Caenorhabditis elegans: one gene and its partner. The protein of the gene in region 2 purifies or fractionates together with the protein of the main gene of each other region. This does not show direct contact. Each region holds a gene or a part of one and is shown on either strand. Other genes may lie near its edges.

The links.
Region 1: the proteins of icpp-55 (region 2) and C01G10.7 fractionate together in Caenorhabditis elegans (co-fractionation; one large-scale study listed by BioGRID). This does not show direct contact.

Annotation. Positions count from the first base shown.
Region 1 is NC_003283.11:15,083,880-15,087,421, reverse strand, and holds C01G10.7 (Citramalyl-CoA lyase, mitochondrial), read right to left. Parts: upstream 1,676-3,542; 5' UTR 1,672-1,675; coding exon 1,465-1,671; intron 1,419-1,464; coding exon 1,314-1,418; intron 1,258-1,313; coding exon 595-1,257; 3' UTR 504-594; downstream 1-503. Other genes in the region: C01G10.15 (FIP (Fungus-Induced Protein) Related), read left to right, coding at 126-188, 232-471; ahsa-1 (Activator of Hsp90 ATPase AHSA1-like N-terminal domain-containing protein), read left to right, coding at 2,049-2,128, 2,178-2,247, 2,296-3,042, 3,093-3,224; C01G10.9 (Methylthioribose-1-phosphate isomerase), read right to left, coding at 3,381-3,542.
Region 2 is NC_003279.8:367,738-375,439, forward strand, and holds icpp-55 (Aminopeptidase P N-terminal domain-containing protein), read right to left. Parts: upstream 5,709-7,702; coding exon 5,594-5,708; intron 4,977-5,593; coding exon 4,880-4,976; intron 3,937-4,879; coding exon 3,618-3,936; intron 3,025-3,617; coding exon 2,687-3,024; intron 1,510-2,686; coding exon 1,038-1,509; 3' UTR 764-1,037; downstream 1-763. Other genes in the region: rnp-8 (RRM domain-containing protein), read left to right, coding at 9-203; R119.3 (DeHydrogenases, Short chain), read right to left, coding at 5,951-6,005.

The DNA of each region.
Region 1 (3,542 bases), on a different chromosome or scaffold from region 2:
TTGAAAGAGAGAGAGATCAAAAGGGAGCCACGGAGGTGGAGCTTGATGTTGAGTAGGGTAAAAGTGTATAAAAGATTCGAGTAAAGAGGGGAAAACATAAACTTCGCTTTGATCTCTCCTAGAAAATGAGATTCCTTACACTGATCGCCACTCTTCTCGTGCTTTTCTCCACTGCCAACGCTTATTATGTAAGTTCCTATTGATTATCTGATTCCCATTTTTTTGTTTCAGCTCTACTATTACTACCCGAACAACGGTTACAACAACAATAACAATAACGGATACACGACTTATTACTACTACCCGAATAATAATAATAATAACAATAATGGTCAAACTTATTACTATTACGATAACAATGGATACAATAATGGTTGCTCCGGCTGCAGTAACAATAATGGATACACTTACTACTACCCGAGCAACAGCAATGGATACACTACTTATTACTTGACTTATGGAAAGAAGTGATTTGTCTGAATTTGAACAAATAAAGAAATTTTAAAATTACTCGTTTTTATTATATTACACTGGCAACTAGAGCTATATTTAAAAATGTACATAAAAAGTTTTACAACATTTAGAATTTAGAATTTAATTCTGAACTCTCTCCACGAGCTGAATAATATTCAATGCCTGCAGCAGAAGTGGTCGATCGATCATTTGTCCTCTAAACTGGAAAGCTCCTTTTCCTAATGCCTCGTGCTCACTGTAAGCGTGGACCAGCTCCTGAGCCCATTCGATTCGATCCTTCGGAGGCAGAAATTGCTCCTGGACCACAGACACTTGACTTGGATGAATGACTTGTTTTCCAGTGAAACCCCACTGCCACCCTTCTGCAGACTGACGACGGAGACCGTCAAGATCCTTGATATCTATGTAGACACTGTCGATTGCTTGAAGTTGGAATGCTTTACAGCAAGTCACAAATTTCTGTCGAGCGAATAGGGTTTCAGTGCCGTGAGAGCTTCGTGTAGCTCCGATATCTGCACAGAAATCGTCTGATCCAAAGACAACTGCATCTAGCTTGAAGAATCCGGCTTGTTTATGAAGATTTAGAGTTGATGAGACTATTCGTGGCATATCCAGAAGAGCTCGTGCAGATTCGATCCAGATAACAAGCCGAGTGTTCGTGTTTGTGATCCGTTCATCTCCGTAGTGTTCACGGAAGATGTTGTAGATGGTGACAAGGTCTTCAGGGCAGTCTACTTTCGGAATCATAAATGCTTGTGGCAACTTTTCAGCTTTCGATACTGCCTGAAATTAAAAAATTCGTGAGGATAAAGTTTGAAAAATTCAAAAATAAATCTTACAATGATATCATCTTCGAGAAGACCACTGCTTACAGAATTGACACGTAGACCAAGCTCCTGGCATGCCAATGTGTGATATGGCAGTTTATCAAGAGCCGCCGCAGCCTGAAAACTCAAATTGTAGACAAATTTCCAATTACTTTTCACGTACTCGAACTCTAGCATCAGCTTTAGCCGTCAGAGCAACGCCATCTTCTAGCTCCAAAACTACTGAATCCGCTTGCATCATTGGAACTTTATCCAGCATTTTTTGATTGCTGGCTGGAACGTATAGAAGTGCACGTCTTGGAACATACTTTGCTGCGTCCCGAACTCCGGCAAACTGTGAGATGTGCCTAATTATCGTTTTAGGAAGCATTTTTCTGAAATTGAAAAAATTAATTTATTTTAAAAAAATGTGTAACGTAAAATCTGAAAAAAAAAAACAAAAATAAATAACCAATTACGTGCGTAAATCCACACAAAAATTGCAATGCAAGCTCGCCCTATTGATAAGCGGTCGTGGCCTGCTGGCCTAGTTTCTTCCATTTTTCATGAATTTTCTCGAAATTAATTGAGTTTCTCCTGTTTTCAACGAAATTTCAAAGATTTCTTGTTTTGATTTCAACGTTAAATATTTATTTTCAAGTTTTAAATTGAAATTCCATTGTTTTAAGTACAAAACGACTTAATCTGGCTTGATGTTCACCTTAAAAATCTCGATAAACTGACTTAAATTAATTTCAGGGAATTTAAATGGCCAAGTGGGGAGAAGGAGATCCACGCTGGATTGTTGAAGAACGAGCCGATGCAACAAACGTAAACAATTGGCATTGGTGGGTCTCGATTGAAGTCATAGCTTTGAGCTGAATAAGTATGTTTTAGGTCGGAGAAGAATGCAACCCCGTGGTCTTTGAACCGACTCCGTGAACTTCTCACCGGATTTTCGTCCGAGGTATAATTAATAGTTGAACAAGATCGTATTAAGAGTATTCGTTTTCAGGATGGCCCAATTGTCGTGACAATCGATGAGATCAAAAAGATCGACGGAGAAGCAACGGCAAACAACCGGAAGGCTAAGCTCATCTTCCTTTTTGAATGGGTTATCGAAGGAACATTCATTGCTCGTGTTTCTGGCAGTGAAGACGAATATAAAGGAACTTTCGATATCCCAAACTTGAGTGATGAGAACGATGCATCCGAAGTGGATGTGAATTCGTCATTGAGTGGAAATGGCCCAATGGCTCATCAAATCCGCCAAGTTCTTAACAAATCGTTCATTGCAAAGATTCAAGATGTTATGGGAATCTATATCCGTGAATTGAAGGAAGAATTCAGCAAGGGTCTCATTCTGCCAACTGATAAAGTGAAGCCACAAGTCGTTACTACTGGAAAGACTTCAGTCGTTGACAAACGTCAGTTCCAAAACACTGTTGTCGCGGAAAAGGACGCTTCCACTTCTGGAAATGAAGTGTTCTCCACCAAAGAGGTTTCAACTTCCGATACCTACAAGGCCACACCGGATAGAGTTTTCGAGGCGCTCACAGAGACTCAATTCGTTCGTGGATGGACAAACAATTCGATCGGAGAGTGGAATTTCAAGGAAGGAGGATCATTTGCATTGTTCGGGGAAAACGTGACTGGAACATTCGAGAAGATTGAGCCGAACAAGGAGATTGTGAAGAAATGGCGACTGAAAAAGTATCCAAACAATCATCATGCAACCATCCATTTCCAGTTGAAAGATACTGTAAGTTTTAGAACAAACGAGGATAAACCTTCTATTATAATAAATTCTAGGGATCTGGAACGGATATCAAAATCATCGCTAAAGATGTTCCAACTCATCTCGCTGAAGAAACTCAACAAGGACTCGATCGTTACTACCTTTCAAGCATTGGTCGTACTTTCGGATTCAGCCAGCGAATGTGAAAAAATGAAAAATTGCAAATCTCCTGTTTTTGATGTTCTCCGATCTTCTAAACCGCTTTCTCAATTTATTTATTTTATATCAATCTGTGTTTGTGTTCTAAATTTAGTGATAATATTTTCATAAATTCAACAGATTCTGTTCAAAAACAAACAAAATTATTTAGGAATCTGCTGCTCGAGCATTTCAGGCGGCCAGTTTCCGAAATCCGTCAAAATTTTCGTGATGAGATGCGCCGGCGTGACATCAAATGCTGGATTCCAAACCGGACATTCAGAATTTCCGATTAAAACTCCATTTACTCGAAGCATCTCTGCAGA
Region 2 (7,702 bases):
TTTTCCAGGAATACCCAATGTGCCGTCACTCGTCAGTTCCATCGATTGCTCACTTGGTCGGTGATCTGTCGGACTTTTGCCCACACGCTACAGCCGACGAGAAGATGCTGCTCGACGAGGCGTCTTCAATCATCGAAAATACAACTCCAGCAGTGTCTACTGCTCCGGCTGCTGCTCCAGGAGCTACAATGCTCCAAATATAGGAGAAGATCACATATACAATAATATAATCTTATTGCATTTTCGCAATTCTCGTTCTCTCCACACACATACACACATCATCCCAAGTATTCCTGTGCTGAATCTCAGTTTGAATGATGTTTCATACCGTTTTTATCCCACTATTGCCTTATCGTTTCCTGTTTTATTATATTTTTCATTTTTTATATTGCCACCACCACCACCAACACCACCCTCTCTATCTTTTTTTGTTCTTTTGCCTCCAGCAACATCATCACCTAGTTTTCTGTGAATTTTGAATTTTGTGTTCCCCCGAGTCCCCTCTGATAGGAATGATAGGAAAAACAATGAAAATGCGAGTTTTTTCAAAAAAAAAAATACAAACTAGGAAACTATAGAAACAAAAAAAAAACATTTGAGGCGCAGTACCGAAATCTCTCCAAATTTGGCCCGAAAAATTCAAAAGAAAATATTTATTTTTCTAAATTATTATTTTTCCGCCACTCCAGCCTCATTCTCATTGGAGCGCGCAAAGTCATGTCGATTTACGAGATTAAGATTTTCAACGAGTTTCATCATTGTTATCGATTTTCGTGTAAAGTTAACTAATTTTTTTGAAAATTTTCGCAAAAAATTTTGGATAATAAAATGTTCAATTGGCACGAAAATGCAGATCTTCAGCAAAAAAACCGACAGAAATGTGTAAAACTGAATCTCGTAAATCCACATGGCATAACGCGCTCCAATGAGAATGTTTTTAGCGAAAAGTTTGAACAAAGGAATATCAAATCAGGGCCAAATTTGGAGCAATTTCTAAAATATTTTCTCAATTCTTTCGGTATTCCACATTCAAACAATTATTCGGCCGTTCCCATGAGCCTCTGAATCTCGATGGGATCCCTTGGCACTGCAGCAGTCAACAGCTCAATCCCTCCAGCTTCACTAGTCGCCACGTCATCCTCGATACGGTATCCAATGCCACGAAACTCTTTGACAGGCCAATCCATCGGAACATACACTCCCGGCTCAATGGTAAATGGCACATTCGGTGGTAGATCAATGTCTCGGGATACTGTCGGACAATCGTGAACATCCATTCCGAGATAATGACTGACGTGGTGGGGACACAGCTTCTCCGCCTGATGAATCATCTCCTTGTGATCCGTAGATCGAATCAGGCCGAGTTCGGTGAAACTTGCCGCGAGAAGTTCGTTCATTCGGCGGAACAGGGCGCTTAGGCGGACTTTTTCCATTGAGTGGGCGTAGGTGAGCAGTTCTTCGTGAACGTAGAGAAGCGCTTCGTAGAGGGATAGTTGGGCGTCTGACCAGCTGCAAAAACGAATTTTTTTTTGGGAAGGTTTTTTGAAACGATTTTTCAAATTTCGTTCGAATTATATTAAACTTTATATAAAACGATTATCCACGGATTTCTGGCTTCCCTCATAAATTGGAATGGAAGAGTTTACCGAACTAGGCCATTTTGGCTCGGCCATATCTGGTGCCGCGTCGCGGCTCGATTTTAGTTGTAAAACTAAATGCATTTGTACGTGTGGAGTACACGACTTTCCCACGCGTTGTCCGGCGGGCGATTGTCAATGGAGCGCAAAAAATTCACTGAGGAAGGGGAGAACTCCGTGATTAGCACCGCCTATTTCTCTCACGAATCTATTTCTTCGAAATCTTCTATTTTTTAAAAATCAATTCCTGAATTCTGAAATTCATTATAGCGTAATTTTTTGGGAATTTCACCCTGAATTCCATTTCTACGGAACAACATTTTTTTCTCGAATTTGTGGTGACTCAAATTAGAATTTTCAAAATCTCCAGAAAAAAAATCATTTTTCCTGAATTTTCTGGAGATTTTTAAAGGAATAAAGTGCAAAAAAGACTCTTTTTGAGGCACCACCGAAAGGAGAAAGGAGAACACAAACCACGCCCATTTTTCCGTGCCGCGCGCAAGTTTTTCTGCAAATTTTTATTTTCAAACGAGACAGCGAAACTCCGAAATAACGCATATCGTGTTCTTTATCATCAACGTGTTATTTCGGAGCTTCGTTGTCTCGTTTGAAAATAAAAATTTGCAGAAAAACTTGCGCGCGGCACGGAAAAAATGGGCGTGGTTTCTGTTCTCCTTTTTCACCTGTTCTCCTTTCGGTGGTGCCTCTTCTTTTTTTTTTCTATGTTTAGCGTAATTTTTTAGCCATCTTGGAATAGCCCCGCCCATTTCTCCCACAAATCCATATCTACGAAATCTCGCATTCCAGAATGATTTGTGGTGTCTCAAACGGGAATATTCAAAATTTCTAGAAAAACCCCATTTTTCTTGAATTTTGGCCGAACTTCTGTAATTTCTGAAATTCTGAGAAAAATTTTCATTTGAGTCACCACAAATACTGGAATGCAAGATTTCGTAGAAATAGACTTGTGGGCGAAATCAGCAAAAAATGGGAAAACATTCAATTTTTTTTAATTTTTTGGGGTTTTATCACTAATTTTTAGCACTTACAATCCAGAAATCGGAAAGCAACGTGTCACATCTGACACATAACCATTCAAATCACACCCAGCATCCACGAGAACACATTCCCGGGGATTTAGGTCATTATTTGCGTCCAAATAGTGAATAGTGTTGGCACGAACACCACCGGCAATCACTGGTGGATATGCTTGCATTTCTGATCCACGACGACGTCCTTCAAACTCCAAGAGCCCGCAAATCGCGTTCTCGTTGTGTAGATCACGTGATCCCGATATCATTGAGCTCATTGTCTGGGCTCCCACGTTGCACACGTCACGCATTGAGCTCATTTCGGATGGAGATTTTATTACTCGGCGACGTTCGATCTGCAAGGAAAACTTGAAAATTGGCAAAAAAATAATTTTTTTTTTGAAATTTTAAAACGATTTTTCGGGTGTTCAGAAAAATTTTTTTTAGGAAAAAATTGGAATTTTCCAAAAGTTTCAAAAAAATAATTTCTAGAACTTTTTCCTAAAAAAAAAATGAATATTGAAAGCTTCGAAAACAGTAAAAATTGGGAAAATTTTTTTACCGTTAAAAAATTTTTTTTTTTCGAAAAAAAAATTTTCAGTTTAAAATTTGGAGCGTTTTCAATTTTATTGATAATTGGTGAAACAAAATAAAAAGTAAATAAAAAATTTTTTTTTTGAAAAATTTGAAAAATTAGATTAAAAATGTTTATTCTGGGATGAAAAAAACCTCCTAAAACCATTTTCTGGAAAATTTAAACTTCCTATTTTGTTCAGACAATTCTTTTTTTTCAAGAAAAAATCAAATTTTCCACTAGAAAATCGAAAAAAATTGACCTCGTTTAAAAATTGGACAAAATTTGAATTTTTACTTTGAAATCCTCGAAAATCGGATTTTTTTTTCAAAGCTTGAACAATTTTCTGCAAATTCTATATATCTCTAAACTCACAAAATGATTAATTTCCCGAACAGAATTAGCTTTAGCCTGTACAAACTTATAGAGTAAATCATCAGAAGTCGAATCAAAAAACACTGCAGTTCCCTTATCGCAAACTTTTTCCAAAGTCTGTAGAATCCGGCTAGTCGGCACACATTCCGTGAATTTTGCAGTCTTTTCCCATTCGGATTCAGTTGGTAGGGCGCCTTCCCATAGCTCATCATAGGCACTACGACGGTCAGCAAAAAGAATATTTGTTTCTTTTGAAGATTCGGATATTCCTGATTGCATTATGTAATAACAATCTGGTGTGGTGATTCCGTTTAGGTATCTGCAAAAAAAAAAAATTTTTCAAATTTTTTTCTGTTAAAAATTTAATTTATTTTTTTTATCAAACAATTTTGAATTTTTCCCAAAAAAAATCCGAAAATTGTGAACAAATCTATTATTTTCGTTGAACAAAAAAAAAACAAATTCAATTTTTAAATAATTTAATTTTCGTTCAGAAAAAGAAATTTGTCGATTTTCGGCGGCAATGATTTTTTTTAACGAAATTTTCCTGAAAAATTCAATATTTCAATAATTCCTGATTTTCTAGTTTTTTTTTTAAAGAAGAACATGTTAAATTTCTACTAATTTTATAACAAAAAATTTCGGGAAAATCTAGAATTAAAAAAAAATGTTTTCAGAAAAATTCTACTAATATATTAATTTTAGCTTAAATTTCGATAATTTTAGGTTATTTTTCAATTTTTTTAGGGCGAAATTTTGATTTTCAAAACAAAAATATTTTCTGACAAAAAAATTAATTTTCATTCTTTTTTAGATTTTTTGAAAAATTTTCAATTTTTTTCTGAAGAATTTGGTACTTGTGTATTACATGCCCTCATTTTTAAATTAAATTAAATGTTCATTAATTTCTCCATTTAAATTAAACGTGATATACATTTTCTCTTTTTAGGCTTAGAAATTGCTATTTTGCTACTTAAAAAATTACTATTAAAATGAGGGCATGTAATACACAAGTACCAAGAATTTCAATCAATTCTTGTTTTTGAAATTTTTTTTGGGAAAAATTCCAATTTTCGATTGTTTCTTCGATTTTTTCAGAAAAAAAATTTTCTAAAATTTATTTATTTGTTTGAAAATTGGATCTAAAAAAATTTCTCTAGTTTTTATTTTTTTTCTGGAAAAAGCTTTTTTTAACTTAAAAAGTTAATCTGTGGCCGAGTTTTCTCTCATCATTTTCACGGCCACGGCCATCAAAACCGAACCTGAAATGGCTTTTCTGTCGGAACGCGTGTGGAACATCCGGTGCAATATATGATTTCCGTGCTCCTTTCATCACAACGACCACTTGCTTTTCTGAAACTTTGAGAGGTCATGGCCTAACTTTTAAATGGTTTTCTAGGCCACCATGGTGATTTTATTACGGTACCGGGTCTCGACACGATGAATTTTGTAGAATAAATTTTTCTGAAAAATTTCGTTTTTTTTTTTAGAAAAATCAAATTTTCAAGAAAAATGGGAAAACATTTTTCAGGAAAAATTTAATTTTATAGAGAAAAATAGAATTTTTCCTTTAAAAAAATCTGAAAATTCGGATTTTTGAGAATTCTCTTTATTTGGATTTTAAAATCCAAATTTTCAAAAAAAAATTTAAAAATCGGAAAATTCCAAATTTTTGAGAGTAAACTCGCCTTAATTTTTTTTTTCAATTAAAAAAATTAATTTTTTAAAAGAAAATTGGAATTTTTACCCAAAAATTGGCAATTATTCGAGTTTTCAACGGAAAAATCTGAAAAATCCGAATTTTTGAAAAAAAAATCTTTAAAAATCCCAATATTCAATTAAAAACCGCGAAATTTCGGATTTTTGAGAAAATTTTAATTTAAAAAAGTCCTATTTGTACTGCAAATCCTCATTTCCAAATGATGGCCTAACTTTTTCAGAATTCTAGGCCACCAGGCCATTTCTCTGCCTCTTACCCCCAGTTTTGACCTCTTTTTTGAGTAAATTCATCAAATTCGTCCTTCTCATCGCATATTCCTCATTTGGAATTCGCGATGGCCACATTGGTAGGCTCCGCCCACTTCTGAGCATTTTTTTTTTGGATCTGATCTGTGTGGGAGGGAAATTCGAATTTTTTTAGAAATGAATAAAACTGAAAAAAATAGATTTTTTGGGAAACAGGGAACCTGAATTTTCGAGAGAAAAAAGGAGGTAAAACAAAAAATTCGATTTTATATTGAGCAAAAATTAATAGAAAAAATAAACTTAACAATTATGAACAGAAAAACCTACTAAAAAAGTCTAAAAAATGAATGAAAAATTGCAAAAAAAATCTACAATCGATACGAGACTCCTCCTCCAACAATGCAGTTCTCGCCGGTGATGTACCTGAAAAAAAGTGATTTTTTTTTGAATTTTTAGAAAACAAAATTATGAAAAAAACCAAAAAATTTCCGAATAATCGAAATTTTTCGGAAGTTTTAGGTTAAAAAAATTTTTTTTTGATGAAAAGTTTTTTTTCAACAATTCTGAAAACTAAAAGTACCAAAAAATTTTAGTTTTTTCGATTGTTTCAATATGATAATTTTTTTTAAATGTTTAAAATTGTATTTTTTCAAAAAATATTATCAATTTTCCAATTTTATGGTAATTTTGGATGTGAGATTTTTTTCTTCAAATTTTCGAAACGTTTCTCGATAAAAAAATTTTTCAACTGAAAAACTACAAAAAATCCTCTTATTTTGAAGAAAAATCGATATTTTCTCAAATTGTTCAGATTTTTTCTGTTTTTACCAAAAGTGACCAAATTTTGAGACTTTTCGATCCAATGTTTAAAATTTTTTTCCCGTTTTTTCGATATTTGCGGTTTAAATTTTTTTTAAATTTTTTGATTCAATTTTAATAAGTTTGAGTGTTTTTCGATTTTTTGTCCAAATTTTTTCAAATTTTTTTCCAGAAAATTGGTAGAAGCCAAAAAGTGCGATTTTTTTCCTTAAAAAAGATAATTATTCAGTTTTTCGACTGTTTTCTTCTTGCTTCCAGATTTTTTCTCGAATTTTTTTTATATTTGAATTGTATTTTTAAATATTATACTCCTAATCGATAAAAATTAGTTTTTTTTTCAATTTAAATTGGAAAAGAACGTTCTTTTTCGTAAATTTTAGTGATTTTTGATTCCAAATTTTTGGATTTTTTCAAAAAATTTCCCAGAAAATTTTACCTGGCTTTGGTAGAAGCCAGAAATTCGATTAAATAAGCTTTTTTGGGTTTTTCGACAATTTGTCAAGTTAGGAATTAAACTTTTAAAATTTTTTTCAAAAATTTTAAAAAACTAAAAGTATTTCTGAGAATTTTTCTGAAATTAATTATTCAGTTTTTCGACTGATTTCTGCTTGCTTCCAGATTTTTTCTCGAAGTTTTTATATTTGATTTTTTTAAAAAATACTCTTAATCGAAAAAAATTCATTTTTTGAATTTTTTCGGGACTTTTTTTTTCGAAATTTTCGTAAGTGTTAGTGTTTTTCGATTTTTGATTCTAAATTATTGGATTTCTTCAAAAAATTTTTTCAGAAAATTCTACCTGGCTCTGGTAGAAGCCAGAAATTCGATTGAAGAAGCTTTTTTTTCGGTTTTTTGGACAATTTTCCAAGTTTTAGTTAGGAGTTAAACTTTTTCAAATTTTTTTTGAATTTTTTTCAAAAACTTTAAAAACTAAAAGTATTTCTGAGAATTTTTGAGAAAAGCATTTTTTTTCTCGAATATTTGAACTTTTTAAATTTTTAAAGCTTTTTATTTTTAAATATCAATTCGAATATTTTACTCTTAATCAATGAAAAATCGATTTTTTTGATAATTTTTTTCAAAAAAAAATTCGAATTTGAAATTTTTTTCATTCAGAAAAGGGAATTTGACTATTTGAAAACAATTTTTTGTTGAATTTTTCGTAAATTTGAGTGATTTTCGATTTTTGATTCCAAATTTTTGGATTTTTTTTTGACAATTTTCCAAGTTTTGGTTAGGAGTTAGATTTCTTGGAATTTTTTTTTGAATTTTTTTCAAAAATTTTAAAAACTAAAAGAATTTCT